Coturnix japonica: one gene and its partner. The protein of the gene in region 1 purifies or fractionates together with the protein of each later gene. This does not show direct contact. Links are inferred from orthologs where the notes say so. Each region holds a gene or a part of one and is shown on either strand. Other genes may lie near its edges. The genes, in order: ERCC3 and CDK7.

What was found.
Region 2: the proteins of ERCC3 (region 1) and CDK7 purify together in Homo sapiens (affinity purification with mass spectrometry; 15 studies listed by BioGRID and IntAct, counting the BioPlex papers as one, with this or other methods). This does not show direct contact. The link is inferred for Coturnix japonica from reciprocal best matches to the Homo sapiens genes ERCC3 and CDK7.

What each region holds. Positions count from the first base shown.
Region 1 is NC_029522.1:23,156,646-23,173,044, forward strand, and holds the end of ERCC3 (general transcription and DNA repair factor IIH helicase subunit XPB), read right to left. Parts: intron 15,895-16,399; coding exon 15,759-15,894; intron 15,568-15,758; coding exon 15,403-15,567; intron 14,394-15,402; coding exon 14,189-14,393; intron 13,387-14,188; coding exon 13,072-13,386; intron 12,724-13,071; exon of another isoform or gene 12,267-12,723; coding exon 12,082-12,266; exon of another isoform or gene 11,948-12,081; coding exon 11,745-11,947; exon of another isoform or gene 10,666-11,744; intron 10,075-10,665; coding exon 9,978-10,074; intron 9,736-9,977; coding exon 9,618-9,735; intron 8,178-9,617; coding exon 8,059-8,177; intron 5,637-8,058; coding exon 5,484-5,636; intron 5,124-5,483; coding exon 4,989-5,123; 3' UTR 4,371-4,988; downstream 1-4,370. UniProt on the Homo sapiens protein: ATP-dependent 3'-5' DNA helicase/translocase. Binds dsDNA rather than ssDNA, unzipping it in a translocase rather than classical helicase activity. Component of the general transcription and DNA repair factor IIH (TFIIH) core complex.
Region 2 is NC_029547.1:13,167,035-13,183,433, reverse strand, and holds the start of CDK7 (cyclin-dependent kinase 7), read left to right. Parts: upstream 1-3,446; 5' UTR 3,447-3,543; coding exon 3,544-3,603; intron 3,604-3,783; coding exon 3,784-3,843; intron 3,844-4,655; coding exon 4,656-4,689; intron 4,690-5,378; coding exon 5,379-5,446; intron 5,447-6,195; coding exon 6,196-6,264; intron 6,265-7,025; coding exon 7,026-7,136; intron 7,137-8,421; coding exon 8,422-8,540; intron 8,541-9,179; coding exon 9,180-9,279; intron 9,280-11,080; coding exon 11,081-11,167; intron 11,168-14,442; coding exon 14,443-14,592; intron 14,593-15,118; coding exon 15,119-15,266; intron 15,267-16,075; coding exon of another isoform or gene 16,076-16,080; exon of another isoform or gene 16,081-16,399. Other genes in the region: MRPS36 (28S ribosomal protein S36, mitochondrial), read left to right, coding at 1,111-1,286, 2,504-2,521. UniProt on the Homo sapiens protein: Serine/threonine kinase involved in cell cycle control and in RNA polymerase II-mediated RNA transcription. Cyclin-dependent kinases (CDKs) are activated by the binding to a cyclin and mediate the progression through the cell cycle.

The DNA of each region.
Region 1 (16,399 bases):
AGTCCCAGCACAGGAATCACAATAAACCTAGTTTTAGGAAATAAAAAACGAACACCTATATATATATTCTCTCTGCTACGTGGATAGACTTCTTAATCATTTATTTAAAGATCATGTTCAGAGGCTTAGAGGCCTGTACACTGCAGCTTGTAATAATAACAGATGGGTCACAAAGTAAGCTATCTAAAAACCCCAGTCATATCATCATCTTATAAATATGTTTGGAACATGATAGATAATTGTAGGAGGTTTGTTAGATGGAATAGAAATGAAGATCTGCTAGTAGATACAAGTTCAGATAGACTTTCACAATAATGCTGTTATACAATAACACTGTACAGTAATCACAGAATAACCTGAGTTCAGAGGGTCCCATAAGGATCACTGAGTCCAACTCCTGGCTCCACACGACCACCCAAACATCAGACCACACATCTGACAGCATTGTTGGGATGCTTCTTAAACTCCAGTAAGCTTAGCACAGTGACCACTTCCATGTCTGACCATGTGGTCAGTGAAGAACCTCTTCCTGATATCCGACCTGAACCTGGTCATCAATAATTATCAATAATACTATGGTGTATGGTACATAATTACTATGGTAATCTATCAATACAGATACAGTCTAGTTTTCCTAGCTAAACTATTGAAAAATAATATTTGGAATTATAAAAGCCAAATTATTCTGTGGTTAAACAGTGAAAACCAGGAATGGAATACTTAAGAATGTGAGTGATTGTGTGGGCTACCACAGCACTGAATATGTAATTACACTATTTTCTTCTCTTTGCTGTGCCAGATAATAATTTGAAAGTCAAACAGAACCACACAATAAGAGTTATTAATGCATTCATCATTGTTTGCTGCTTTACCACCACACTTTGCATCCTTACTACAGCAGAATCCAATTTGGAGGTCAGAATGACCAACTACATGTTCAATAATCAGCATCATCAGTAAAACCCAGAGTTATGCTCCAAGAGACAAAGCTGACATAAGTCTCCTAGAGCAGACTAGAAAAAGATAAAGAATGAAACTTACCTACATTTGAGAGAGCAGCAGCACGTTTCACATGCTCTATGGTAAAAGCTCGGCCTGTGGAAGGATGTGCATTGTCTGGTCCCCTTTTCCATAGAAATACAGTCACATGTTTCCAGTGGTGTCAGAGAAACAAGGAATTCCCACAAAAAAATGGTGAATGTAGCTGCAGTAACATAAAACTTGTTCATTCCAATCCACGTAAGCCCACTGAACCGTAAAGGAGAAGTTATGCTGTCAGCTCTAGCCAACCAAAACACATTCATGTGACTTGGAAGATTAACATTTTCTCCTACTTCCACAACCTCCCAGCACATGAATTCATCAGACTCAACAGAAACCTGAATGAACATACAGTTCTTCAGATTTAAGCCATGACTTTTGTGCTAGTCTGTCAGTCTGCTGATTCTGAAAAGTTGTTTTATGTAACTAGTCAGTTTGGACATCTTTTATTTCAAACCAGTTGGAGCACACGCCTCTTCCACAGTAAAAGTGCTTTGATTTTAGTTAACTTCTGGTATGTAATGGTATCACTAAACTAAACCTGACTATTGACAATTTAAGATTGCGTATTATTATTGGAGGACAGCTTGCCTGGAAATCCACTCACACTGTTCTCTCAGTCTAGACCCCCTGGTGGGGTCATATTTAACTGTACTTTGTTACCTTCACTAAGTTATTTCTAAATCCAATTTAAACTTGCCCTCCTCTTTGCATGAACTCCGACAAAGTTCATCTGAAGCTTTCTTTGTGTCATAATAGCTTTGCTATTCGGATAGTGGTTACATTATCATCTTAGCAGGAATTCTGTTTTCTCAGAATTATTTTCATTGTTCAATAGCCTTGGCTATATCTGGCTTGTAATTATTTGAACAGTATCATAAATGTTGTGCTACATATAAAACATTCCAGTGTTCAAATAGCTAATGCATCTAAAGGCATCTATGGAAGCAAAAGGGAGGCATTTAACTTGGCCCAAGTAACACCTTCAAGTAACACGATAAAGAGAGGTCAGAAATGTCAAAAGGATGAATAGCTGAAGCACCGAAATGTCAGAAATTTCAGCAAAAAATTTCAGTGCAAATTGAAGCGTCTTTTCACTGACAAAGCCATGCCATTAGTCACGGTTTGTGCTTCTTCTGACCGCTCTTAAATGCATATTTTGAAAGACCTTTTCAAGTTGTGAAATCATTTATTTGGAATTCTATATGCTTTCCAAATCCCCATTATTTTTTCCTGAGAAAAGGACAAATTTGAACTTAACAAGCATGACAATGGAGGTATTGTAGGTAACTTACTCATGAAGCAGCTTTAGTTTAAGAGACAAATGTAAACTACTTCTCTGTCTTTGGTTTCATCTACCATACGGTAACTTAAAATCTTAATCAAATTTGGATAAAAGAACACACAGATCCAAACAATCAAACCTGTCCCAGCATCTGACAGCGCTGTGTATTATTTACTATTTAACGCTTCAATAAAAAAAACATAAATCGACTGCAATAAATAAATGATTCAGCTCTACATGTAGATTTCTTGTAGCAGGTATAGATCCTTATCCTGTCTAACGGTGTACCTGAGAAGTAGTTGCCTTCAATTCCCATTTTTAAGTTCTTCAACAGGTTGTAAAAAGGTACCACTAGAAACTGTGAGCATCATGAGGGCACAGGAAACCACAGAGGAATAGAAACAGCATCTATTGCAGTACTTTGCAGAGCTGAAATGCTGTTGGAAACTAGAACACCAATGTCACTGTGTCCTTATAGTCCTGTAAGTCATTCTAATGAACAGCAGTACTCTTCAAGCATTAATCCTTTCACAGACACTTGCTGACTTGCTGTGGGGATGAACACAAACATGAATTTCAGTACTGTAGACTGCCAGAACCACAAAGAGAATAACAATTCCATGAAGAAGTTAGAAAGTGCAAGTTTTCTCAGTAAGGAATTCAGCCGAGCTAAGGAGGTGACCAGGAATAGAGTATCCTGAATTATGTCCAAAGAAATTGCACTTCTATTCACGACTTCCAAGAAGCAACACACTTACCCTAAAGTTCACCTGCTTCTGCCACCGCTCAGTCTGAAAACACTTTTGCTATACAAATTCATGTTATTTTTGCCTCTCACTTAACGAGAATTCAGGATATCATCAAGCTGTATCATTTGCAGGTGTCAACGGTTTATCAGGATCCAGAACTGCATTGCACTTTGTTGGCTGCTGCTAAACAATGCAGTGTTACACCAGAATACTCCTACAGGGATACAGGCAGCATCTCGGAAAGGTACGTACTCAGAAGTGTAATGGCAGAAAAAAAGGGTTTCCTTCACATACTTCCTCAGGACAAGCTCAGAGATCTCAGACATTTTGTTTCTGCAGTTTGTGTAACAAGCAATCTCACAATCCATCTGCACAATAAAAGCACTGGCCAGCAAGCATCTGATAAAGAACGTGAGCGCCTGACTGCAACTTTAGAGAGCTAGGGCCCAGATTCTTGGGATTCAGGCCACAAGGCAGTGAGAGCCCACCACACACTGTGCAGTTACTGTGACACATCGTGCTTGCAGCCTCCCATACTGCTTCAAATAGATACCTGTGCGACAAAACTCAGTGCTGAGTTCCGTAGCTGAACAAGATAGCTTCATTTCCTACAAAATGGCACTGCAGACTAATTCTGGATCAGCATGTTGTGCCCGTTGCATTTGGAGTCATGCTTTAGAGAATTGTTAATGCATGCCGTTGGTGAGGAACAAGTAGTTTTTCTTAGCAACAGATTCCTGTCTGGAAGGCAGAATTGAGTGAGTATATTACAGCGTAGATACAAGACAGCAACTGTTCTATACTAACAGCACATCTGTTTGCCACCTGCAGCCACAATCATCTGTATGGAATAACTACTGCAGTAATTCTATCAAATTACTGATCTAAACTGAACACCAACACGCCATTACTGGAACATGGATTCTTACCTCTTACAATTATTTTTCTTTGCATAATGTTGGAAGTACTGCATCCCACATAGACCATTATTTAGAGTAAGATCACTAGACATCACAGCCAAGATTTGCAGAATACCGCATCACTGTTCTAACCATTAACTGCTACAATATTAAATTGAAGGGTTTTGTTTGTTTTTCATGAGTGCTCTTTACCAGAAGTTTCTCCTACCTCTCCACACATTTTCTAGAACGTTACTGTATTTACTTCCTTCATGCATCTGCCTCCTAGTCACTGGCAAGTCAAAACACTCTTTGATCCAACAGTAACTTCTACAGTGACACTGCACTGTTTAGCAGTTATGGTTTTATTATGTAACTAATAAACAGAACATAAAGAACAAGGGAAACAGCTTTTATTTCAGAAACATCTCAACAGTAGCAACAAAAATAAGGGAAATGGAGCACAGTTTATTTGTACTTACGAACGCTTTCCTCTAGTTTACTTTCTCTTCATCCTGAAACTTTGAAATATTTCAGCCAATTTGGTAGGATTTTAAAACAAGTTAAGTCATGGTTATCAACTAGCCCCAGTTGAAAAACATTATGTAAAGTGCTCCTAACAAGACTCAATAACTTTTGTTTAAGCAATTTAAACATCAGTGTTTTGCTAAGTAGACAGTAATCAGATAAATATTTCTAACATCAGTACAAAGCTCATATACAAAACCTTTCCAGAATTCACCTGAAAAAGTGTCTTCAGCCAATAAAAATAAGATCTGTTCACGCTGAAAACCAGACAGGTACAGCCAGGATCCAGTCACTGGATAATATATATCTCCATGATGAGATTTAGTTCTTCTTTCACATTCAATCACAAGAACATAAATGTTGCTAAACAAAAACGTGGCTATACGGATGCACACAAAGATGCCTTTTAGAGGACCTGCCATATTTTTAGTTGTGGAAAGATGTACATAGATGGACAGTTCTTATAGAACGCACACATGAAGGACATCACTTCCTGAAACGCTTAAATAGCGGGTGGATGTGCTTATTTGAAGACGCCTTACTCCGAGATGAGTGATATTCCATATAAACTGCATCATCTGCTCCTGACATCGAGCTCATTGTGCCTGTACGACGTGACATCTGTAAATATGGAGAGAAAAAACATATGCTTACAGTGTATGATTAGACAGCTCAGCTCTCACCTACAGACCTTCAGACCAAAAAGCCTTCAAAGCTGGTATTTATTTTCCTTAAAGGAGAATTTCTACTAAGAAAGTAACTGCCTATCAATGTAAAGTGGCCTTTTAGTTTCTGCCCTTTGGGTATGTGGAAATCAGTGAATTAATTAGTCAAGTGCTAACACAACTTAAAAAAAGATACGTTTTCCAGTATTTTACAAAGACACTACGGCATCAGTGGTGGCCTCACATTCAGAATTCAAGTGGAATGGTTCTATTCTACTGCAGTTACGGTCTTTCTTTTCAAAGTATTTTTCATTACCTGAACTGACTTTGAACCATATTCTCCAGCAACAACCTCCTCCTCAGCATCTAGGTCAGATGCCTGTAGTACTTTCTGAAGAAGTTGCTGCTGTTCTTCTTTGGTTGAAAATGAAAGTTCTTCTTCTTCCATGCCTGCAAGCTTTGTTATTACCTAAGAAACAGAGCACAGTAAAAGGCAGGGTTTTTGAGCTGTTGTTACTTATGGTGCACGTGCAAATGTATCCTCCACCCCACAATCTGCTGTTACATTCTGTCTGGAAATGCAGTATCTCTAGACAAAGAACGCACGCCAAACACTGTCATTCCATACCAGCTTGACCAGGAACCTTACTGGAAGGCTGACTTTACGCTTTAACTTCAGGTTTTGTTCAGTGTAAGAACTAGTCCTTTATATAGTATAAAGTATAATCATGCAAAAGTACTTTGTATTTCATAAAAATAATCAATTAGCTTTGCAGACACCAAGAATTTTAACATACACATTTAGGAATATTCACAATTAATTGTTAAGAGACTGCACAACAACCTGCAACAAATGGTCAGCAGCATCACTGTTGTCAGTGGCAATTTCTAAATTGAAAAAAATGTATTTCTCTAAGAAATATGCAGTTTCAAGAATCTATTCAGAGAAGCAACTTGTCCTATTACATGAACAAATGAATTCTATGATTCCTCTTGTTGCTTATGAAGTACATGTGCTATGATCACCTCAAAAACGAAATGGAACCCAGGAAGAACTGCATTAGCATGTAGTTGTTCGCAGTTGTTGCAAAACAGTGCCAGTGTATTTCATAAAACAGAAAGAATTTCCACTGCATCGCAATTTTTTTAAGCTGTTGAACAGATGCCAAGTTTAAAGTCATCAGATTCTTTGACACAATAAGTTCTTCTCCAGTTGGTTTAAAATTCAATATATCCTGCATTCAATCTCAAAAAACCAATACAGTGCAGTAACTAAACTTTGGTTAGCAAACCAAACAATGCCTAAATAACTGAGGCTCCAAGCAGCAAGTAGTACCGACAAGGCTGTATAAAAGAAACAAAGACAAAACATGTGATGTAGCAACCAATTATCCTAATTCCCTTTTGCTGAAAGGCAGAGAAATGAGCGACTGATAGATGAAAAGAAGGAAGTCCTAGAAGAAAAATGCAAACTTTTACCTTTTTAAGAGAGTACCAATTTTTTAGTAGTATTAGGCATCAGGAATAAAAATTCTAAAGGAAAAGATAACAGCACTGAAATAATTGCCTAGAGATGAAGTAGAGTCACAAAGGCAAACATCTGCCGGGAATGACATACACAGTTGATTCTGGCTTGTAATGAAGAAACATTAGATGGTTTCTTCAAGTTTCTTCCAACCCTATTATTGTTCAATGCCAGCTATGACTAAAGCTTAAAGTTCAGCAAACAGAAGAAAACAGACAATCTAACATTTTGTTACTAATCTTCAAACAAAGAACGTTCCAGTACTGGGCAGCTAAAAATTCTGCCCCAGACACTCAGCTGCCATTTGCACTACTTTTATTCCCTTGAAGTCCAAACTCCTAGGACTAAGTCTTCCTTGCAAAATAAAACTCTTCTATTTTAACCTCTTACTTAGTTCTACAATCCGAGACTTACACTCAAACAAAAGCATAAGGATTTCTCTTTCATGGCTATAGCCACATAGACTCATCTGTTGTAATCACCTGCAGCTGACTGATCTACAGTTTTGTCAAGGTACATTCACTACAAAGCAAAATGAGGCTTTTACTTGCAAAGCCAATGACATGTCTGTTCTGATGCAAAGACCTCTTCAACTGGGCCACTGATAACAGAGCAGTTTAGTTCAGAGTACCTGCAGTTCATACAGGTTTTATCTCAGAGATGCCTCAAAATGTACGTATGCCTCTAATGATCTTCAACATCTACGTTCAAGTGCAGTCTAGTACAGGCTGCTTGCTCTTTCCCCTTGTGCAATTTGTGGTGTGACGCATGGCCATCTGGATCATCGTTTGTCTTTCACGTCACTGTCACCACTGCTGAAACACACCACCCACCACCTCACTGTGCTCACATCCACTGTTTGGTCTCCATAAGTGCTCAGCAAGCTTCAGTGAACGTCAGTGGGTGCCATTTTTTCTGCATGGAGGAATTCAATTCCACACCTTTGCTTTGTATGCACTTCCATGTCAAATACCATTTTGTCAGACTGCCCCTCTGCTGCCATCTGTCGCACAGCAACAACATGCAATGTTGTTAAACAATACTGGTGGGAAGATTCAGCCTTTACTGCCACACCACCAACACCCACCTCTGATGTTGTGGGCCAACATGATAAAATAGGAGGCATTACTTTTGGATCTGCACTCATAGAATACTCACTTTCCTAAAAGTTGCATTAAACTACTTGTATCTACCCTCACAGTAATACAGTTAACAGAATAATGCTGGAAAAATTTTTGCCTCCAAGCAAAACCTTCATCGATACATTTCACAACTGTAATTCTTAAGTATCTCACATAGCCATAAAATGAAAGAATTAAAGTTATATCCATGGGCCACAGTTTCATCATGAGAAGGGACAAATTACCTTGAAGCTATAGCCTTGATCCACGAGAAACCGTTGTCGCTTTGTTGAATATGCCATTTCCTGCGTGTCTTGGGATACGAGAGAATAAAAAAAGGCATTGTATTCCTCTGCAACCATGCCTAGGAGACAAAGCCACCACACAGTTAGTTCCATTTACATCACCACAACAAAGAAAAGAGGACTAAGTTGTAAAAATAGGTGTTCAAATAAGAATTATCTCCACAAAGTCAATCTGTAAAGTGTATCTTAAATACAATCTGCATCCAAACCTTACGTAAACACAGTGACAAAGCACAGCACATTGAAATTCCTACTCTTGTTCATAATAACTTGAGCATAGGAGATGGAAAAGGAAATTGAGACTAACCCAGTCATCTGGCACCCTGAGAAGAACCTGCTACTTAACCAGGCAAAACAAATTACAAGAAAAAATCATGTACGTAACAGTTTGCACACAAATGGTAAGAAGTCAAGGACAAAGATGGTAATAGATGTCAAAAAAATCAAACAGAAATAACCCAAAGTTAGTAATCTTTCTGCATTAAAACGAGGATAAAAGGATAAACCAGCCTGTGCATTTAATTTTCTTTAACAACAAAAAACAACAAGGAAATAAACCAATCAAACAAATAGGCCCACCAACCTTATAGTTATTTGATCTACTCTCGAATAGCACTGTGTTCTCTTGCAAAACCCAAGGTCTCACTAACTGTTCATTCACTAACACAGGCTTTGTAGGCATTTTCAAACAAAACTTCAGCCACAAGAAGTATAAACTGCACAGAAAATAAGCTTTGCTGTTTAAAACGGCCTTTGCTGAACTACATCAAGACAGAACCATAGAGTGTGCTTTGGTAGGAAGAAAATTACAGATAACAGCAGCAATTCTCCTCTGTATGAGCACAATAGAGAGAGACTTTCCATCACATGAAAACAGGTGGGAGAAAGGGAACCCCAAATTCTGCTTTCATCAGTCATTTTCCCAACAGCCAAATGCAGAACTGAAGCACTGTAAATTTATTCTCCACCTGACAGTTATCAATAATTTCCTCTGAAATATGACCACTTCCTAGGGAATACTCGTTCTATCTAAACTAAGTGCCAACAGGCTGCAACATAAACCGATTTATATGCTTTATTCTAACATGGTTTATACAAATTCACAAGTTTAGAGGAAAAAAATAAAAGGAACAGCAAATGCTTCTACTAATGCTATGCTGATTTGATACAAGCTGATCGTAAGTTCTTAAAATAGAAAGGGGCGAAAAATGCTACTTTGGCATAGTAAACCACTGTAACAGGAGGGGAAATAAAATGCAAGGAAGTATTTAAGAAAGAATTCAGTTCTGGTTAAAAAAAAGTGGAGAAAGGAAATAAGAGATGCTGCAAGTGAAAGATAAAATGGCATCCATATTACAACAGAAAAGGAAACCCAACAACTACCTTCTTACTCATGATACTGAAGTTTATTCAGTCTATGTTTCAGTATCCTAAACAGTTGAGTAATTATCTGAATGCCGTACTGTATTCCAAAGAGCAGAGCCCAACAACTACCTCACCTTTTTTGGCTCTCAGTACTCGCCCCAGTCTTTGAGCCTCCTGTCTTCGAGATCCGCCGTGGGATGAAATCTGGATCAGAACATTGGCTTCAGGTAGATCAAAGGATGTGTCACCCACCTGCAAAACAGAAGCGGTGTCTGAGCAGCATCTTATTTCCATGCATCACCAACAACAGCTTTGTACAAAGGACACCTTTATTAGTTGCAATAATAGAATCACAGTATTATCAAGGTTGGAAAAGACCTAGAAGATCATCTAGTCCAAATAAATAAAACGTCAAATGCCCAATGTGTGTGTATAGCATGTTCTTAGATAAGGTTCACTCTGAAGATGAGTACAATAACACACCGCATCCTCACCTTTGAAATGAAAATGGTGTTGATTTTTGGATTGTGCTTGAAGTTTTGTAGAATTTGCATTCTTTCTCCTTGTGCGGTAGGACCATATATGTATGGTCTGGAAAAAACAGAACACATGCAAATTAAACCTATTTACAGTGTCTCATTTATTAACAGGTACTAAGATATCATGGCAGGGAGCTCATTACGTGGTGATTTAAACATATTAATAGCTCGAATGGAAAAAACAGCATGAGCTACGTGACTCTGGATGGCAGACTCAGGACAGAGTAAAAACTGGCTTAATAAATTTGAGTTCTGAGGCCTCAAAAGTTAAAGTCAAAATAATTCCTGTCACGTGCATGTTCCGTTCCCTGCTAGTACCAAGGGAACGGGATGGGGTAGAGTAGGAGCTGGTGCAGCAGCAGTCACCAGGCAATGCCAGTTTCCCTGCACTGGTGAGCCCACCAGCCCCACATGTTTGAACCAGGCAGTGGAACCAACGACCAGCACAGCCAGGCAGACACAACCTGGGCTACTACTGCAGCATCCAACAACCAATAATTCCTGCCACACCCAAACTAGCAGTTCCCTTTTTATGCCCAAAGCCAACTTTGAGCATGTCCATGGCAAACTACGGTTAGAGAGCTTTTCTGTTATGATGTTCTCTTTCATCTAGCACTGCAACTCCTCTTTCTATCTCTTACAGCTGTATAAACTGGAGATCCATACAAATCACGTGGGAAGGAGAACCGAGTCAAGAATGTGAAAGGCAAGCACCTAATATTTCTTTAGACAGTTCTCCTGCTGTACTTCTGCAGCATTTCCCATACTTACAAACCGTTAGGTTACTTTGCGAGCACCCTTTCAGGCGTGTGCCTTTATTAAAGGCTCTTGCTCTGCGGAGCACTGCACACTGCGAGCAACATTCCAGAGGCATCATTACAGCTAATCTCTGTCCAGACAGATTTAAAACATGATGAAAGAGACCACGGGTGTTGGAATTCATCCAGAACTACCAGCTCTGCTGTGAGATGCACACTAAGCCACAACAACGTGGCCATTAAACTAGAGTGAAAAGCAATCACTAATTTCGGAAAGCGCAGAAAGATTTGTTAGCAGTTGTGCTGAGTACTGTCAAAATTCAATAGATGTGAAATCATACAGTCAAAATGCCCCGCAGCTTCCAGTAATCAACACATCATTTGAGCTTGTCGCAGAAAGCACAAGGCCAGCTCCTATGCTTATTTTCCCCAAGGAGCTGCTGTATGACTTGATCCTCACAAACATTCTCCCTGGTCATCCCTTCCCAAGCCACTCAAACACATTGAGGTTTAACCCCTCAGTCAACTCTAGTCACAATAATTGTATAGACATTTAGGGCAGACGATCCTGAAAGATCCCCAGTGCACATCTGAAAAGATTCCTGACAGAGAGACAGGAGAAGCTACAGTCCATTATAGAAATAGCTCTGAAAAGATTTCTAAAGGCTCCCTAGTTTTGCCAAGTGGCTTTCAGTAATAAATCAATAAATGGAGAAAGTCAGATGAAAACCCCTCTGAGCCAAGTGCTAAACAGAGATTCTTTTCAAACAGTTCTACAGTGGAATTAATGTTCCAGTGCCTATAAAATCCATTCAAAGAGTAGTTTCCTGAGCTCCTCTCATGTGAGAATTGTAGTTGAAGTATTACAACTAATGTCTAGAGGTTACTAAGATCTGTAAGATCACAAGTTGATTTTCCAGGAAGGAGGAAAGCAACAGCATCATCGTTAGCACTGAACACTTACTTCCCAAGTCTGATGGCGTACTCCTTCAGTGCAAACACATTGTCAGCAAAAACAATGATTTTATCATTCCGTCTCTCGTGAAACTTAATCAGGAACTGGCAAGCTCGAAACTTATTTGGGTTCATGGTGTACAGCAGTATCCGCTTCTTTGTTTTGATGGCTACGTATTCTCTGTAAAATTCAGGTGACATTGGGCACCAAACCTAGAATTAGACAATTTACACAGAGTAAATCCCAGTTATCCACTTAATTCCACTGGAAATTAAATCTATATTAAAAAATTAAAGCTATAAGCATGTTAAATATACACCAGTAGTACTGAAAAGCAGAACATCACCTCAGCACATTGGACTTTAGCAATGTAGCCACTGTTCTGCAGCTCCATCCAGTTGGCCTCATAGAGCTTTGGTCCAATCAGGAAGTTCAGATCAACAATTTTATCATCTTCTCTGACCAGGGTGGCAGTCAGTCCCAGCTTACAATGAGCTTGTACAATAGTGAGCACACGTCTGAACATTTTTGCTGAGAAACACAAGACACACTTTCTGTTTACTTTCCCGAACGGGTTTAGAATACAAGCACTGCAATCTTACAAGTTAAAAAAATCAATCATTAACTCCTAAACACAAAGCAAGAATGGTCTTAGGAATTATCACCCCATTTTACATACACTTCTAACAGTATTCTGTGTCACGGCAAAACTTCACATTGATGTCAGCTTTAGTTTGCACCTTTAATGTACTCTAAAAAACCCTTTTGCATTTGTATTACTTCCTGCTTCCCAAGAAGAAAAGTAATAGAGAGAGACTTATCTTAGCCATGTTGTATTTCATCAAAAGATGCTAACACAAGAACTCTTGGCTGACTTTGCCACATTCAGGACTAATATTAATTTCTAACATTTATCTTTTGTATTGTTTCAAATCCTGTTACCTTAATTTTTATGAAATGAATAAAAGTGAAAGAGCTGCACCAGCAACGTGCTGCTTGGTTCATCAAAGTCTACCCCAGAAATCCATCATTTCCAGTAGAGACCAAATTATATTCAAGTTAAAACATGACAGCAGCAAAGAAGAGCTGGGTGGTACACACTGCCAGGATAACTGCACAGACACTCTAATAGCACATCACTGCTTCCAATAGTCTGCAACTACAACAGCTATTTCTGGACAGTTACTACTACTGTTATTCAAATTTAATGGAATAGAAATAGACAGTAACACCTAAGCCTACAGTGCAATTGCATCTCAAAACCAAAGATGGCATATTAACTCCTGTACGTACATACAGTACATACAGCATGAGGGTCTGCACACCATTTACTTACCAGGAATAGTGTGCACTTCATCGAGTATCATAAGGCCCCACTCTCGACTTTTAAGCCACTCCATTACTCTCTCTGCTTCCCAGGATCTTTTAGTCGTGTGTCCCAACATGGAATACGTGCTGATAGCAATAGAGCAGTCAATGGGCTTATCTTTGGCATCAGAGGTGAACCGACAGATCTGACTGTCATCAATGGTGGACCACATCTTGAACTGTGCTTTCCACTGCTCTACAGACACTGCAGAGTTACCAAGGACCAGACACCTCTTGCGGACAGTGCACGCTGCTGTCACTCCAACTAGAGACTTGCCAGCACCTGTGGAAGGAGCAATATTCATTATGGGTATCATTGGAATAGAAAGAAAAAGAGTGAAGGACAACAGTTGTGTGAGGGAATATGAAATCACACTGGATTGCCCACCACGTGCTGTTGTCTTAAGAAAATCATCACAAACGCTGCTTTTGCCAGTTTGAAGCAATCAGACTGTTTTCTTCATTTCAAATATGGGATAAATTCCAGGTGGCTACAGAACGCTTCTACTAGAGGCCATCCCCCATACAGCCCCTGCAAGCAGTGTACGTTATACCACGTAGCAAGTCCTTATGTCTTCCCATTCCTGCTTCAAATTTCCTCCATCATCCCTTACACACTCTTTGAGGCCTTCCTCGTATCTCCTGCACTGCCACAAGCAGTCTCCCATTCTCTCCCTCCTTAAATGCTTCCCATGGGTTGTCTCAACCTTCTTGCTTGCACCCCCAGTTCCTCCACCTCCCCGTTTTCACCCAAGGATGAAATGATTCCAGCGCCAGCAGTTCTACATCTCACTGGAAGATCAGCAGAGCTGACTAGGAGGGCACAAAGAAAAACGTTAATGGTGATCTATCACAGCTATTAAGGAACTCTTCAGCCACTAGAGAAACAAAACACCCTCACCGCTCTCATCACCCACTTGCTAAAAGCCATCAGGATTTGGCATACTTGTACCCAGATCAGTCCCTATTACAGTTCGAAGCCCAAGCAGCTGTCAGATTTAAAAGTTACATTATTGCAGGCAAGTAAAGAACAAAATCTCTAAGGAAGAAAACCCTTAAAAAAAATAATCAATGCAGTAATTTACCACATGGCAAGACAATAACACCAGATCTGGCTCGTCCATTTCCAAACATCTTCCTCAGGCTTTTCTCTTGATAGGGTCTGAGGACAGCTGTAGGTTTCAGATCTATATTAATATCAGGATTCACAGAATCATTTCTGAAATCATATTCTGCCAGCAAGGGGTACTCCAAATGGATACAACGCTTCTGAAGTTCTTCAATCATCTCCTGAGGAGGAGACAAAGCTTCAGCTGCTAAATTCTCCACATCTGAATTATTACATCATTTAACAATTACTGATTACGCAGTGCTACATGAAGTCACGTTTAATTTCACGCTCATTAAGTCTGCATGAGTTGAAGTTGGTTTCAATAACTTTGTGACGACCCACCTGCTCCAACATTTGAAACAACAGCCCGTACTACAGAGAGCTATTTTGACAGATGGAAGTGTGAGACACATTCATCTGAAATGTGTTTCTCATCTGGCAGTGACTGAACTACACTCTGAAGCCCTGCAACAAAAAAAAGCTCAATAACAAACACAATAAGTCCCGTGTGCTGCATGGAAAGCCCTGCCAAAGCAGCACACCTGTAATAGGGAAGAACTTCATACCCTGACAGTGCAGTTACTCCACAATGACAGGTTGATTCAGTCACCAGAAGTTGTTTCCAGTTCTCAAGTACTTCTTTGGTTATGATAAAAGTTCTCCTTTCATTACTTCTGTCTTCCCCAGAAAAGCATCATTAGAATCACCATGCAGCAACAAGACAGGCCTTACAAAATTCCTCTGAGGGCCAAGTCAGGACTGTGCTCTGACCTCCGGCTTCTCAAGCTGGGAAAACAGAGCCACCAAGAGCTTCCTCTGTAAGTATCAATTGTGAGGAAGAAAAGCTCTGAAACTAACAGCAGATTTACTCTCCACTGAATCCTCATCAGCCCTGCACAAAGCAGCATCAAGCCGAGCACAAACAGAACCTCCCTGAGCTTCTGGAACCTCTCTAACTTGTGAATGACTGCACTCTGTGGGCAGAGAAAAGAACGTTCTGCAATCTGCTCACTCTGTACCGGGAAGGAATATCCCAAGACTTTGGAAGGCAAAAGGAAAGAAACATTATTGGCTTCCAGTGACCTCTTACGTTAAACAAGGAACCACTAGATATTATCTCTTACACCTATTAGAGTCCAGGGCACATCCCCTAAAGCTACACACGCTAAGAAACAAAGGTGTTCATGCCTGCTTGACTTCAAAAGACACTGTCTGTGTTTCTTCCTCCTCCTCCTCATCTTTGTCCATCTGCTCATAAAACTCATATAAATCAGCTGGGACATCCGGCTTGTTTTGAACATCTGCTTCTTGTGACGTGGATGGACCAAAGCCACTTTCACTGGACTTGGAAATCTGAAAAAGACAGAAAAGACCAAAAGATTCGCTAGAGATGCTCCCCAGGACACTCATTGAAGTGGGGTTCATTAACAGGGCTGACAGGAATGAAAACAACTGCTGACATAACTAACGCACAATAATGATTCCAAGCTACCGAGCAGCTTATCTCATATGAATTCCATCCTTTTAAGACACGCCGCACGTACCGCTGATTTACTTGTGAATGTCTCTGTAATGAGCTCCGTTTCTTCACCTTCGGCATTTCTCAGGCGACAGTCTTTAATAACGTGGTCTTGCAGAAGCTGCTGGATGACATCAGGATGGGTACTTTCCACAAAATACCTACAAGAAAAGGACAAAAACTCCACATCTCTACGAACTAATTGATACAATAACTTACAGAAAAAAGCAGTACGTGCTTAAATCTACAGCCCAGAAGCACTCAAATGTAACAATCTTCCCTCCTTCAACTTAGAACCTTTCCCCCTTGTCCTTCCACTATCTACCCATGCAAAAAGTTGATTTATCTTCTGCTTATAAACTCCTTTTAAACACTGGAAGGCTGTAATGAGCTCTCCCCGCAGCCTTCTCTCCTCCTGACTAAAAAAGCCCAGCTCCTTCAGCCTGTCTTTGGAAGAGAGGTGCTCCAGGCTCCCCAGGGAGGTGCTTGAATCGCCATCCCTGGTTGTGTTTAAGAGCCGTCTAGATGTGGTACTTAGGGATATGATTTAGTGTAGGGTTTTTAGAGTTAGGGTACTGGTTAGGCTGCAGTTGGACTTGATGATCTTCAAGGTCTTTTCCAACCTAGGTAATTCTATGATGGATATCTTTGTTGCCCTGCTCTGGA
Region 2 (16,399 bases), on another chromosome or scaffold:
TTGCTTAGACATCTAAATATTCTTTTATTTCTATTAGTTTATCCATTAGCATTACAAAGTACCTACAGTGCCTATCAGTGCCACTTCTGCCATACCTGTGAACTAGTCAGGAACTATTTTGGGGGATAACTTTGTCACTCACACCACCTCTCATGCCAACTGCTTTCTCGGAGGCATAAAAAGCACGTTACTTACATCTTGTTTAGCTCTGCATCTGAAGAATTTTGCCATTATACATTTTTTCTTGTATTTTTCTTGTATTTTTTTTTTCCATTTGCTGGAAGTCTATGGCAGTAACTGTGTTTCACCATACCAGACTGCTGCTTGGACATAGCCAAACAATGTTGCAGATCAAGGCTGTGCTGTTAGAAACTCTATGTTTCAAAGGCCAGCCAAGTTATTTTATGGTATTACTATTGGGTTATGCTGTCAAACAGGGGAGGAAAAAAAAACACCAAACAGACAGTATATGAGCTAAAGCAACTACAGTGCTAGGTCTGATACTTTTCAGTCCTGCTACTTGGTCACTACATCTCATTAACAGTTTGGTTGCTCATGCTCAATATGTGATCCTCATTTTGCACATTACTGACATAATTTGATACACTACACTGCCCTGCTGTATAATATTAGAAACAGGTACAGAGTTGCACGTGTATGTCATTGTTGTGATGTTCACCTTTCTGTAAGCCTCTGCCTCTTTTTCACCTTTACAATTGCAAGTAGACAAAAGCATCACCTCAGTGGACCTTGGTTATTCATCTGAACTGTCATTCTGCATTACCCTCTCCACAACACAATTATGATACCTCATACTTTCTCTGCAAGGAAAGCTTCCCACAGGAGAAAAAGCCTTTGTTAGGACATATACTGATTTCATTTTTCTTTCCGTGTTAATATTTCTTCCACTTGAATATACTATCTTTTAATTTCAGAATATTTTCATTGTGCTTTTGATGTATTTAGTAACAGTAAAAACAAGTTGAGTCAGTTGAGTATATTAATATATGTTAGGACACAACTAATTGTCAGTGGCTTATTTGCCACTCATCTAATTAACTGTACAATCTTGTTGTATTTCTTTACATTGTTTTTCAATCTGGGTTTCAGTACAGGAATCTCTACAAGCAAGTGTTCCGTCACCTCATGCTTCAAATGAAGCCTTTCAAAATATTTCACCTGCTAGTAGGGCACATGGTGCACCAGACACTTCTGAATTAGCAAGAATCTTACCTCAAAAATACAGAAGGAAACTTATGTCAGCTGAAGAGATTGAATATATTCAAGTAAGTCTCAGTAACTGTTGTGTGTTCTCTTATTTACCCAACCTTCTTTGTAGTTCTGCAGGTCCTTAAAAGTTGCACATGAGATAATAGATTGTAATTTTTGTTAAGAAGAGCTTTTGCAGTGTTGATACGCAGTACCAAAACAACAAATCCTTGATGAAGGAGGTTCACAGCTCTTACTAATTAGTAGCTTGTGTTGTCACTGTAGGATCCATATTTAAAGCAAAGGTAGAAAGGCAGTGATAGGTAGAGCCTACACTAAGCATATTCCCTTCTTGTTTTATAACCATTGTTTAGTGCATAATTTGAATATGGGAGCACAGAATGCTGTTCATGCTCTTGCCAGGTGACTGAAGTACAAAATTCATAAAAACTAGTTTGGAAACTGTTATGTAATAGGAAGTTAATTTTTGCACTTCTAACAGTTGGGAGCATTTTAGTTAAGCTTGATGCAAGTATTGCCTAAAATATTTGCAATTGCTGCATAACATGGGAAAGTCAAGGCAGAACTGCTTTTCTTCTGGAAGAGTTTTCAAATGAAAACATTTTTACTTAAAAAGGGAGAGTGCACAGAATTTGAAGAGCTAGACAGTAGCTTTCTTAAATGAGGACACTTAAAGGGTATAATGGTACTAGCGGAAATCTATATTTCAGCGTGCAAGTGGGTGACTATTTAAATTCAAAATAAAACAATCACTTTCCTGTAGTTACATACTTCTTTACCTCTGTTTTTGGTTTGTTGTTTGTTTGTTTTTAACCACAAGGCAAGTTGTTAAATAACTTTGTCAAAATAGTGAATTTCTGATTTCTCATAAAGATTATAGTGGGTTTCTTGGGCTTTGCTTTTACTTTGCCCCTTGGAATTTGGGCAGTAAAAAAAAAATCCAAAGCTACTACTACGGCTGTTTGTCTCATCTTTCCAGAGTCACTAAGTGTCATGTTTCTTCCAACTGAGAGGATAGGGAGCAGCTGCAAATATAGGTTGCAGAGGTTTTTATATTGTTTATATTATTCCATCAGGCACAATAAGCTATTAATGACAGGCAATGATTTTTCTGACATGTAGCATGTTCCATTACAGATTAAAAATCAAAGCGTAAAAATGAAGTTAAATCTAGGACTTGTTTATTAATCTATAACTGCAAAAGAAGACTGGATATCAATTTCCCTTTCTTTTAGAGGAAAATAGTTAACTCTGTCTATTTTTTGCTTTACAGCGTGGAGGTCCAGAATAAGTACGGAAGATATTTGCCACCAACAGATATCACCACTGTTGAAGAAAGAAGTATTGTGTTCATCATAAAAGCTTTTCCTTAATATTATAAATAATGGTATACTGATAGCTTTAATAAAAACCCTATGTGAAGGTGTAAAGGTTGACACAGCACTATTAATTGGTGATGAGAGATTTTCTGTTGATGACTAATAGCAAATGATGGCTACATCATTAGAGTATTTTTCTAACTAGCCATTCTATGAATTTGGCAGTAGAACAAATTGAGTTGCTTTATTTTCCTTGTTAACAGGTCTTTTCATGGCTGATTTCATGGGCAAGATAGACACACTCAGAGACTCCAGAATGGCTTGATTTGGATGGAACCTTAAAAACCATCTATTTCCAGCCCCATGCTGAGGGCAGGGCTGACACCCATTAGATTAGGCTGCCCATGGCTCCAGCTAGTCTGGCCTTGAATACATCCAGGGATGGGGGCATTTACACCTTCTTCAGACAAACTCTTCCAGTTCTTTGACTCCTTCCAACCCCCAACACGAGTTGATAGTTTTCCCCTACCATCTGATCTGAATATCGCCTCTTTTAGTTTAGAACCATTTCTCTGTGTCCTGTCATCATCAGACTATATAAAAAGTCCTACGATGTCCTGTTTATAATAAGCTGCTTTTAAATAAGTTAATTCTCCTGAAGTTCAGGATCCCCACTCTGCTTTTTGTCAGGCCCCCGTTCCTCATGATCACAGACTCAGCCAGGACATGGTTTAACCTCCTTAATGAGCTCTGTGGGGCAGCTGCCCGCTCCGGAGCTAATCACACACAGCCATCAGGGCACGAGCAGCATCGCACAGCGTGTGCCGGGCCGCAGCCCTCCTAGTACCCGCCTCCGAGCTGACGGCATCAGGCTGCGCGCTCATGGTGCAGGTAGGCGGGTCTGGAGGCGGGCGCCGATAAAGGGCCGTGCTGCTCTTCCGTTGTGCCTCGTTCTCCGGCCTTAGGGCTGTGCTGCTTTTCCCAGCTGGCAGCCATGGATGCGCGGGCTCGTGCTAAGCGCTATGAGAAACTAGACTTCTTAGGGGAGGGACAGGTGAGCGGCCGGTGGGTGCGGTGTGGCCGCCGGGGCCCTCTGAGGGGCGGCTGGGTGCGGGAGGGAGCGTGGCTGGCCGGGCCGATCGCCCTCCCGCTCACCCACCGTAGTGACTCTGGCTCTGGGCTGTGGGCTGCCCTGCCGCCGTGGTCACGCGTCTCTTTCTCTCTCTCCCTTTAGTTTGCTACTGTGTATAAGGCAAAGGACAAGAACACGGGTCAGATCGTTGCTATCAAAAAGGTGAGTGTTGGAACACCCCGCTGTGGTGTCACTGGGAGCCTTGTCCTGCACGGTGCTTCTGTTGAACTGCTGTCGTGTGTAGTGTGTGAGAATTCACAGGATTGGTACATTGGAAAAGAAGATCATGTAGTCCATGGGTATCCAGCCTTAATGTCCTGTGCTACGCTGGGAGAGGTGGAATTGTGCTGGACTGAAAACAGTGCCTCCATTTTACTTCTGTGGAAACTATAGCAGATAGAGCACACTCTAAGTTACCAAGAACTATTTTTCAGCATAGACACCACCGTTAATTAGACATTTTCACTAGCAATGAGCTAAAGCCTGCGTGCTGTGTTGCCATAAATCTGTATGAGTGGGGATGACTTGCTGTTGCTGTCACCTGAGCTGAAATTCATCACCTGCTCCCTCACTTTGCTCACACTTACTGTTTGATCTCCATAAATGTTCAGCAAGCTTCTATGAATGTTATTAGGTGCCATTTTTCTGCATGGAGAAATTCAGCAACACACTTTTGCTTCCTCTGTGCATCCATGTCAGATGTCGTTTTGTCAGAGTACCCCCCGCTGCCCTTTTGTCAGATAACAACACCATGTAATGGGAAGGTTCAGCCTCTTACTGCCATGCTAGCATCCGCCTCTGACATCATAGACCACTAACATAGGAGGCATTACTTGCAGAGCAGCCCTTGTAAGATATTCAGAATTGTTAATGTATTTTAATGAACTTATTTTAATCTTTTTTTTTTTAATTAAACAACTAAACTGTTGGGGATTGTGACTTGACCTTATATAATATGAGGCACTTATTTTCAGATTAAACTGGGACATCGATCAGAAGCTAAAGATGGTAAGTGTTAAAACAAGTTCATGCTGTATAAGCTGTCTTTGTTTGTTTTGCTTCTGCTGATTGGGTGATTGATTCCTTCCCAACCTAGAGGGACAGAAAAAATAACATCCGAAATACAGCATTCTCATACTGTATGTTTAACTGTGCGTATATGACTGTTTAGGTGGAACCCAATCACAAGTATAGCATGGAATAATGATATTGGCTTGCATACTTTTTTTTCTGAATATAAAAAATATGTCCACATGAAAGCGGACGTTGTCTCTTTTTTTTTTCTAAAGAAGGAATTAAAATAGGCAGAGTATCAACTAAGCCATCAAGATCTTTGCATCTAAATCTTCGCTGGAATCTTATATGTTGAATGAAACCACCATGGAAATAACACTGTTTTTCAGCTCATGCGTAGGCAAAACATCTTGCACAACATAATGCAGTAGTGTTTGCTTGCCAGTAAGCCAAAGGGATGTGTATTTTCCTTCATAATCTATATCTTCTAGTTGTTATTCATACCTTGCCTGCAGCAGTCTATGTATTTGTGACAGTCTGCTTGGCTTTAACAAATACATGAGTGCTGAGGAAAAGGACTGTAATATTAAGTAATCAATGAACAACAGAATAAGAGGTTTCTTTGCTGGAGTTTAACTTGAAATTATTAATTATATTCTGTTTAATTATTTTTTTCAATATAGGAATCAACAGAACAGCGCTGAGAGAAATAAAATTGTTACAGGAACTAAGCCACCCGAATGTTATTGGTGTAAGTACAGTGAATTTTTGCTGCAGAGACTGGCTTCAGAGAAGGTAAAACTGCACTGGGAAAGGGATCTGGAACAAGGGATCTGAAGTAAAAAAGGCTGCGCTTGTACTGGGGAGCTGCCAGCTTGTGGGTTGGCTCCTGAGTCAGCAAGGGTGGAGCTGGCACATTAGCGGCACAGTTTAAACTCTAGTCCTTATTGTTTGCACCTGATAACAAGCTTAAAGTATCCTAGGGTGAGCTACCAGGTGAGTAACCATTGTTGCTGCCCACTGAGAATGGGGAGGTTCAGTGAGTGAGCACAGCCCACACTGCCCATACAGTGCTGTGGATGTGGATCAAGTGGTGATGAATGTAAATGTTGTCAGTCTGTGCTCAGGAGACTAGCTTTCCTCTTGGAAAGTCTCTGGGACTGCAGGCCTAAACATGTTCTCTATCAGAAAGCAGGTTTATTCCAGAAAGATTTTGGCAACCCAGACAGAGGGCCTGCCCAGAAATGTAGCTGTTCTCTGGCTGCAGGGAGTGCCTGAGCCTGCTGCTGCCTGGGGAGGGTGGCAGGGATTCCACCTGTGTGAGGTGTGAGCAGGTGGATTAGGGTTCCTCTTGATGATGAGGTCTAGGCAGTGAGTAGCCCTGTGCCTGTTTGTCTCTGCCAGTAAATTGAAAATGCACATGCAAACTAAAGTAGAATGGAATTTTAGGAAACGGGAATTATGAGAGTGTCATTCATCATAGCACATTTTGTTTTACAGCTGTTAGATGCATTTGGACACAAATCTAATATTAGCTTAGTATTTGATTTTATGGAAACGGACCTTGAGGTAAGTCAAATTAAGATAATTTCAATAAATTTCAATATCTTCAAATACATTTTGAAAATGCATTTTGAAAAATATATTTTCATAGCCTTACTGTTACTGTGTGTTTTTTATTTCTTTTTTAGAAAGTTGTCTCATTCTTTCATTATGTAATTTAAGATCATACCTTTAAAAGAGTTGGAATAGTGAGACAGTATTTTCAATTGAAAATGCCTTTAAAGTACTTTCTGTCAGCACCTTTATCAAGAAACGGATTATGTTTACTATATTAGTTTTCTAGGGCTTCAGTCAGAGCATAGAACCACTGATCATAAGCCAGGATCTCAGAATGCAATTGCTAAGCACAGTAACGTAAAACATGCTCAAGTAAGTGTGATATTATTCAAGTATGCCGAGTAATTATCTGACTAGAAGTCACATACTCCTGAACCCTTCTTTTAAATTTGACAGTGGCGTGTGCTTGCAGGCCTGAATCTTAAGGATGTTTCATTAGCTTGTCTGTTGCCAGTACCTTTTTATTGAATACTTTAGTGCAGATTCTTCATTTTGGAGCACTGCTGAGAAGACGTTTTGGGTGACTGTCGTGTCAAATCTGTACATGCTCACATTATCTGTGCTCTGGAAGAAATTAACCCATTATACATGTATATGTAGCTACAAATTCCAGCTTTATCCTAAAGTATAAACTGACTTTTGAGTTGAATAATTTTGTGTTATAAGTTTTTGTGCTTACCAGTCTACCCATATCAATCTAACACTTGCAGGTTATTATCAAGGATACTAGTATTGTATTAACACAGTCTCACATCAAAGCGTATATGCTGATGACACTTCAAGGGTTAGAGTATTTACATCAACAGTGGATTCTGCACAGGGTAAGCATGCTCTAAATGCCCTTATTCCTATAACAAATATCACTTTTGATTGAATTAGTCTGAAAACTGGCTTTCATTGGTTTAGAATGCATAGGGTTGCTCTAGCAGTTGAGTAGTGGCAATTGCAACACTAGAAATGTTAAGAATTACTGACATCTATTGTGTAGATGCTTATAGGTGTAAATCATTCCATAAGTAGTGCTTTCTATTAATTGCCATGGAAACTACAATACAAAAAGCACAATAGCTCTATATGGCAGGACAAACTCTTAGCTACAAAACAGTGTCAGCACCGTTTTCATCAGCAATGAGCAAGAGCCTACATACCACATTCATAAAAACCTGCTCCAGCAGACATCACCCACTGTCTCTACTGGTGAAACACACCACCCTTCTCTTCACTGTGTTCACATCCAGTGTTTGGCCTCCATAAACATTCAGCAAGTATCAGTGAGAATATTCATTTTCTTTCCACACGGAAGGATTCAGTTCACAGTCTCAAGTGAGACTTTTGGTTAGAATTGTGATCTAGTCGGGCTTAGATGAAGTTAACTTTCTACACAGGAGTTTGCATGATGCTCTGTTTTGAATTTGTAGCTTAAAACAATGGCATTTTTCAATCTGTTGAACTCTGCTTGCGCATTGTCAAGCCTTTTTCCACTCTGCCTCTAACCCAACAAAATCTGCTTAGAGTGGGCCAGAAATTGGGAAGGGATGCAGCACGTGGGGCAGCTGACCCAGGTGGCCCCGAAAAATGCTGCCAGTGGTACAACAGTGTAAAATAATAATAATGATAATTAACAATGCTGGGATATAAGTAAATTTTGTCTTCCACCTGGGTGTGAGGAGTTGGCAGTGCAAGCAATGGTTACGTGCCTGCTGGCTGTGGCCAACCCACAACACTGTTGCTGTATTGAACTATACCAATCCCATGACATCTCCAGCTGTCATTAAAATTAGGGATTATATTATTCTTTTTTTTTAACAGTGCAGTAAGACAGAACTAATGTTCCTGCAGCAAAGCAAACACCTACCATAAATTTGTGTTTTTGAACTCTGGAAATTAAATAGCTTAATATTCAAATTGAGATGTATGATTAGTTTTTATTTTCGTTTATGTGGAAATGATGTCTTGTTTGTTTTCTTCATCACAGCATAAAAAATCAAAATATACTCAGAAGAGTAGGTTTTAGAATACTGTTACTGTACTCTTGCTGAAATGTTCGCTGTATGTCTGTTTTTATTAACAATGACAGGATTCCTTCTTTGCTTTCTGCCCTGACAGGATCTTAAACCAAATAATTTGTTGTTAGATGAAAATGGTGTTTTGAAATTAGCTGACTTTGGCTTGGCAAAGTCTTTTGGAAGCCCAAACAGAGTTTACACACACCAAGTAGTAACAAGGTAAGACATTTCTTAGATTGATGGTAACTATTACATGTTACCTTGTGGAATACGCCATGTTAAAACAACATGTTTAAAGTTTGATTTCTAGCTCAAGTGCTATGATTATAGTGGCAAAAAGTTTCATAACAGAAAGCATAATAAAGTGCTTTTTAATATAGTCTCTCTAAGAATGGTTGGAATTTATGTCCCTGATGGTTGTTCTGTGAAATGATATGGTTTTGAAGCACATGAAATTAACATGTATTTACCTATAAATCTAGCTTTCAGAGAGACAGAGTAGATAAGGTTTCCTTTGTCTACTGTAGTGCTGAAACTATACGGTGGAACTATTTAACATCTTCATTCAATTAAAAGGCATCAGTGAAACTGTTGTTTGAAATGCAGTGTATGTTTTGCCGACAGCTTCAAATAATTGCTGCCAGGATGTATTTTGCACAAAATTAATCTATAAGTCTGTTGCTAGTAATGTTTTTGAAAGCTGAAAGGAATTGTGTCTTAAAGTAACATTTATTAAAGATAAATAATAATAAAAATACACTTAATTTTTTTTTTTTGTAATTACTGCACTGCTGCAGCATGCAGCACTTGACATCAAGTGATACCAGGATGTTTTCCTAAAATATTTTTTCTGTTCAGGTGGTACCGATCTCCAGAACTGCTCTTTGGATCTAGAATGTATGGAGTTGGTGTCGATATGTGGGCTGTTGGTTGTATTCTAGCTGAGTTGCTTCTCAGGGTAAGTCTTCAAATGTAAGAATTTTTATTTTTTCTTCAGTGCGTCTTAGTTGTAGGTTTCTTCTGCCCTGCAGTACTGTCACCAATAAAAAGTTAAGCTACTTTCTTGGAGGTAATGAAAGGGAGCAGGGAGGGAACACCTCCCAGAAGTTTGCTACCTGTAAGGAAACAAAATTTTTCACATAAGCTGAGATTCCAAAATCATTACAATTAATGGAAACTTTAAAGAACAGGTAGGCGAAAAAGTACAACACAGTGTCACAGCTCTGCCTTGGGGAAGGTGATTAAAGAGTTACTCTTCCAGTCCTCTTGGTGTTTGCCTTTCACGCAGCCATTCATCAGTTTTCATTTATGATATTTCTAGAAAATCTGGCAGAGTAGGTGTGCATGTACATTCTTATTTTTCATAAATTGTTTCCCAATAATTGGGAATAATTACCACCAGTACATCAACTGTGGATTTATTTGTAATGAGCTGAAAATTTTCTGTTGTTGTTGTAAAATGTGTCTAGTTCACAGGCTGGAGTGAAGCTGAAGATGGTCAAGATTACATAATATCACTCCTACATAAGATACACAGATGTAATCATCCATAAATAGGCTTTATAGGAGTAAGCAGTCTGTTACGTAGCTCTTCTGAAAACATGAAAGTAGGAAATGAAGGTGGGGGGTGCACCAGTAGTGCATGCATAAACATAGATTAGACCACAGGTGTCCAACCTTTTGGCTTGCCTGGGCCATGTTGAGTGAACAGGGATAATCTTGGGCTGCATATGTGGAATGCTACAGAAGTGATGACTCCTGTTTATTTCCATGGAAACAACAACTAATACAAATAGCACAATAATTGTTTGGTAGAGCAAAATCTTAGCTATAAAACAGTGTTTTCCAGTGTAGTCACCGCTATTAGCTGTGCTTTTTTCCCAGTGTTGAACATGAGCCTGCATGCCATGCTTATAGAAATCTGTTCCTGTGGAGGTAATCACTGTTCCACAGCTGTTGTGATGGCATCATTGCTGAGATGCACCATCCACCCTCCTCACTGTGTTCGCATCTGCTGTTTGGTCTCCATAAATGTTTGGCAAGTGTTGATGGATGTCAGTGCATGCTGTTTTTTTTCCCATGTGGAGTGTGTTGCAGCTCTTGCTTCATCTGTGTTTGTGTCAGATGCCATTTTGTCATAGTACCCCTCTGCTGCTGTCTGTCACACAGCAACGTGTAATGAAATACTGGTGGGAAGGTTCAGCCTCTACTGTCATACCATCATCATCTGCCTCTGACTTTGTGGGCCAACATAACAAAATAAAAGGCATTACTTTTGGAGCAGCCCTCATGAAATATATAGTTAATGCATATGAGTAACAAAACTTATTTTATTATTTAATATTCCTTATTAAAACCTAAAAAGAGCAACAACAACATTGACCTAGTGAAACATTTGTCTTTGCCTTTGTGCATTAGCCTAGTCTGATAGCAGTGGTTGCAATTCTTAGTGAGTTGCCTTGGAGTTGATCAGAAATTGTTATGAAATGTTACTCCTTCTGTGCCTCATCCTTGAAAACAGTTGTTCACAAGTATATATGTACTGCCAAAAAGCAAGGGTGTGTTAATGAGGTGTGATTGTGAGGTGAGGAGATAATTCTCTCTGGTAAAATGGGGTTTATTGAGGTACGACAGAGATATAGTCACATTTTTCATTCAAGTTGAATACATAATGCAATTATGAGGAGCGACTCTTAAGTTACTTTCTAGAATTAAGTGTAGAATTTATTTAAATGAGTAATGCTGTTTCCTTCTTCCAGGTTCCTTTTTTGCCTGGAGACTCTGATCTTGACCAGCTGACAAGGATTTTTGAAACACTGGGCACTCCAACAGAAGAACAGTGGCCTGTGAGTCTTTCTGTTTAACACCCTGACTTCAATTTTACTTGATGCAATATTTATTTTTGCTTTTGAAATTAAATTAAAGAATACGTCAGAATATTTGAGTAAAATCTAAAATACAGCTGCCTCTCTCACAGTGGAAGAGGATAAGCAACTGAGATTTTTACCTCAGCAAATCTAATCATTACAACAGTACTGTTAGCATCAAGCAGCAGTTAAGAGACATCTTAATTTCCTTTCATGGTCCACAGTTTCGTATGACTATTGGTATGAAATTGATATTGATTGCTTAATGTTCTTGAGATGCTTGATATATTCATATTTTAACCTGGGAGGCTTTAATTGCTTTCAGAATTGGGAGCAATTTACTGGACCTTAAATTGGGCTGTCCTGGTTTTTGGTTTGGGATCCAGTAAAAGACAGAATAACAGTTCTGAGGGGAAATGTTTTCGCAGAGTAACTCTGTGGTAATACACAGCAATCAGTGTCTGTCCCCCACATGGACCCTTTTATTTATTTTTTTTGTTAATGATTGGCACTACTAGCTTTCAGTGGCACCAGAGTCACCAGATCAGGCTGTCAGAGCCACATCCAGCCTGGCCTTGAGTGCTTGCAGGCATGGGGCATCCACAACCTCCTTGGGTAACCTGTTCCAGTGTGTCACCACCCTCTGGGTTAAAAACTTCCTAATGCCTAACCTAAATCTCCCCTGTCTTAGTTTAAAACCGTTTCCCCTTGTTCTATCACTATCCGCCATTCCTGTTTATATGTACACTTCAACTACTGGAAGACCACAGTGAGATCTCCCCGGAGCCTTCTCTTCTCCAGGCTAAACAATCCCAGTTCCCTCAACCTTTCCTCATAGAAGACATGCCCCAGCTCTCTGATTATCTTAGTGTCCCTCCTCTGGACCCGCTCCATGAGCTCCACATCCTTCCTGTACTGTGGGCCTCAGGCCTGGACACAGAATTCTGGATGGGGCCTCACAAGAGCTGAGTAGAGGGGGACAATCACCTCCTTCTCCCTGCTGGTCACCCCAGAACACAGTTGGTCTTCTGGGCTGCAGGCTTACACTGCTGGCTAATGTCCAGCTTCTCATCCACCAGGGCCTCCAAGTCCTTCTTCATGGGGCAGCTCTAAAGGAGTTTTTTCAGGAGTCTGTATAAATACCTGGGATTGCCCCAACCCAAGTGCAGCACCCTGCACTTGGCCTTATTGAACCTCATTAGGTTTTCATGGGCCCACTTCTGCAGCCTTTCCAGGTCCCTCTGGATGGCTTCCCTTCTCTCCAGTGTATCAACTGCACCACTCAGCTTGGTGTTGTCTGCAGACTTGCTAGAGATTCCATCATCTGTGTCATTAATGAAAGTGTTGAAGAGCACCAGTCCCAAGACCGACCCCTGCGGGATCAGTGGTTATTATATTGTACAGCTGTTCCTCCTGTATGCCAGTTCTCCTTTGTATGAATGGTGTTCGGATGCTCTCTCAGCTCTGTGGTCACCAAATTGATCTATAGCCACATGAAAAAATTTGTGTAAAGCAATACTAGCCTAGCATTTCTGTTATGCTAAGATTCTAAAGGAAAGGTGCAAAGATTTTTGCAGTGATTTTTTCCTTGTTCTTGGGAGGTGAGAAAAGAAGACAGGCAATTCATTAGCACAACAGAGATAATGCATTCCCAAATTTGTTTCCAAACCTCTATTTTTCAAGTATTGAAATCCTTACTGTCAAAGTTGTAACTGATTGCACACATACAGCGTTAATGTTATGTTTAGCTTGAATAAATTTAATGAATGTATTTACTGAAATATGTTGATTTTAAAGTTTTAAAATACTGACATCTAGGTAATTGTCTGTAACTGGTTTGGTTTTATGATGAAATTTGAACACAAGGGGTTGGGTTTTTTGTACTTAAGGGAGGAAAAATGCCGTTCATCTTTTGTTCAACTGGTTTTACCTTCCTTCCCTGTAGTCCACAAACAGAACATGTGTCTCAAAAAGTAGCTCAAAATGCTAATGGTGGATGACAAACTCGGTAGAGGACAGTATCTTGCCAGGAGGAAATGCACACTTTGAATCTCCTCTCTTCTGCCAATTGCTAGTTTTACTTTGTCTGTGTTCACTGTAAAGTTCCTATATGCTTCCTTTGTTTCCTGTTGTACTACTCACTACTGAAGCAAGAGTATGAAAGATTACTTGGTAATGGATACTGTGTCAGTTCTTTTCTTAGAGTAATTTCTGTGACCTGTTATTCCTATGCTCTGTGACCAGATATTAACAGGGTGTCCTGAAGAATGGTTAGCTTCTGCTGTGGATACAGCTGAGGACACCAAGCTGAGTGGTGCAGTCGATACGGTGGAGGGAACAGATGCCATTCAGAGGGACCTTGACAGGCTGGAAAGCTGGGCTCAGGTGAACCTAATGAGGCAAAGTGTAAGGTTTTGCACTTGGGCCGGAAGAACCCCAGGCACCTGTACAGGCTGGGAGGAGTTGTCCTTGAGAGCAGCTCGGCTGAAAAAGACCTAGGGGTCCTGATAGATGAGAAACTTAACATGAGCCATCAGTGCGCTCTGGCAGCCCGGAAAGCAAATGGGATCCTGGGCTCCATCAGGAGAGGGGTGGTCAGCAGGGATAGGGAGGTGATCGTCCCTCTCTACTCTGCTCTTGTGAGGCCCCATCTGGAGTACTGTGTCCAGGTGTGGAGCCCTCAGTACAAAAAAGATAAGGAGATTTTGGAAAGGGTCCAGAGGAGGGACACGAAGATGATCAGGGGGCTGGAGCACCTCCCCTATGAGGACAGGCTGAGGGAGTTGGGTTTGTTCAGCCTGGAGAAGAGAAGGTTGCGGGGTGACCTCATTGCAGCCTTTCAATACCTGAAGGGAACTTACTCCCAGGAGGGGAGTAAACTCTTCGAAAGGGCTGATAATAGCAGGACTAGGGGAAATGGTTTTAAGTTGAAGGAGGGAAGATTTAGGTTGGATGTTAGGGGAAAGTTCTTTACTAGAAGGGTGGTTAGGTCCTGGAACAGGCTGCCCAGTGAGGTTGTGGATGCCCCGTCCTTGGAGGTGTTCAAGACCAGGTTGGATGGGGCCCTGGGCAACCTGATCTAGTAAATGTGTATGTTTGGTGGCCCTGCCAGGCAGGGGGGTTGGAACTACATGATCCTTGAGGTCCCTTCCAACCCGGGTAATTCTGTGATTCTGTGATATGAAGTTCTGTTTCTGTGAGATGCTAAGCTCTTTCAATCTTGAAAAATAGATATCCCTTTCTTATCTTTGTAGGGAATGGCAAATCTTCCAGATTACATCACTTTTAAGCCTTTCCCTGGAACGCCTCTTCAACATATCTTCAGTGCAGCTGGTGATGATTTACTTAGTCTTCTACAAGGGTTATTTACATTTAATCCTTGTTCTAGAATTACAGCCACTCAGGTATAGTACACTTGTTTGTGTCCTAGTGTTCATGAATGTACTCTAAATATCACATAAATGCGTTTTGAAGCTAAGAAGCCAGGTTTGAAATGAAATGTCATATAGTTCTGTCTGTTAACTGTATACAGTAAACATATCTCCCACGTTTTATACAGAGAACTTTGGAATAATGCTCTCTGATAATCCCCATTCCCAACTGTGTAGCCAAGGTAGACAACTAAAAAGCATATAAGCCAGACTATCATATTCAATATTCAAAATTCAGTTACAAAGCTTGCAACATAAATCATAACATAGAATGTTTTATTCCCTGCTTTTAAAATATTTTCATCCTTAATTCATTCAATCTCCATTTAATTTAAACTTTTCTGGTTCTCTTTTAAAATGTACATCTGGTGATTTTAGCCATCATCATGATCTGTACTTCATTTTCCATTTTACTTGAGTAAGATTGATCTCAGTTCTGATGCTTATACTAATCACTTTTTTTTTTCTTGTTTTTTTTTTGTTTTCTGTGATTATGAAGGCACTGAAACAGAAGTATTTCAGTAATCGCCCAGGACCCACTCCAGGAAATCTGCTACCCAGACCCAACTGTGCTGTGGAAGCTGTAAAGGAGCAGCAACATGCACTTTTGAATTTAAAAAGGAAACGAGGAGAGGGAATGGATCAAGGTAAATTATTAATGTTTCACCTGTTTTAAAATGGGAACTCAGAGGGAAAGCTGTACTTTCAGTATTTCAGAACGTAAAAACTCTTTGAATGGATAATATCCCTGGGCACTAGGACCATCTGGAGCCCTTTAGGATTTATGTTTTAGGATAAACACTTGAAGGTGAGGATGGTTTAATAGTGATCTAACAGAATTGGTACCAGAAAGGCTCTTTTACTATGTGTAGTGATCTGTTAATTAGAAGAAATCTCTTAATGCCATTAATTTAATGAGGTGTGGCATCATCTACTAAGTTAGAGGCTATCAGACTTCTTGTTTCTCAAGCAAACAAGAAAATTCTTAGTGAGTTAATCAACTTCATATAACTTTTTTTTTTTTTTAAAGGGAGAACTAAGAAAGAAATATGGTATTTCTTTTAGGTGATAGATTAGAGAATGTAAATCAGATTTAGAGAGATTGCTGCTATCTCCCTTGGACTAAGTAAGCTGTTATGACCACACTGGGCAAGGAAGATCTCCATACATTACAGTGATCCTTTTAAGAAGCAAGCCTATCCCCTAACGTGTATTTCCATATGGAACCTCCAGTTTTCCTCAAACAGTAGCATATACTTCATACCTTCATAGCCAGAAAAGCTGTGTGGACTTGACAGCTGTATCTGACACTAAACTAGTCAGCCCTTCTAGCAGAGAGGCAAACAGTTTTAAAGCTTGGAATTTGTCATCTTGGCAGCAGGAATTTGCTAGATAATAGCAATTAGGTTAGGTTAATGGTTAGACAGTAGGTTAATACCAGTTTTGTTTTTACCAGGATGAGGCTGTTTCAATACAAGAGTGTGGTATCTTGCTGGAACGGAGATGCTTCCATGAAAATGCATTTCCTCGTGAGCTCAGATGGACAACTAAATTTTTACAGTTCATCTTACTGTTTAAGCACTTAAACCCACTGTGTCTTAAACTCTGTCAAATTACAAGTAAAATGCATTAGTTTGTTGGCTTAATTTTTCTTTGAAATTAGAATCTTTAATCTGTTAACTATTTGCATGCTCTTTGCTGACCTCAGTACCATGGGTCAGCTGCCATGTGGGAACTTGTCAAGTACCATGGGTAATTAATTAAAGTCATTAGTTGAAGC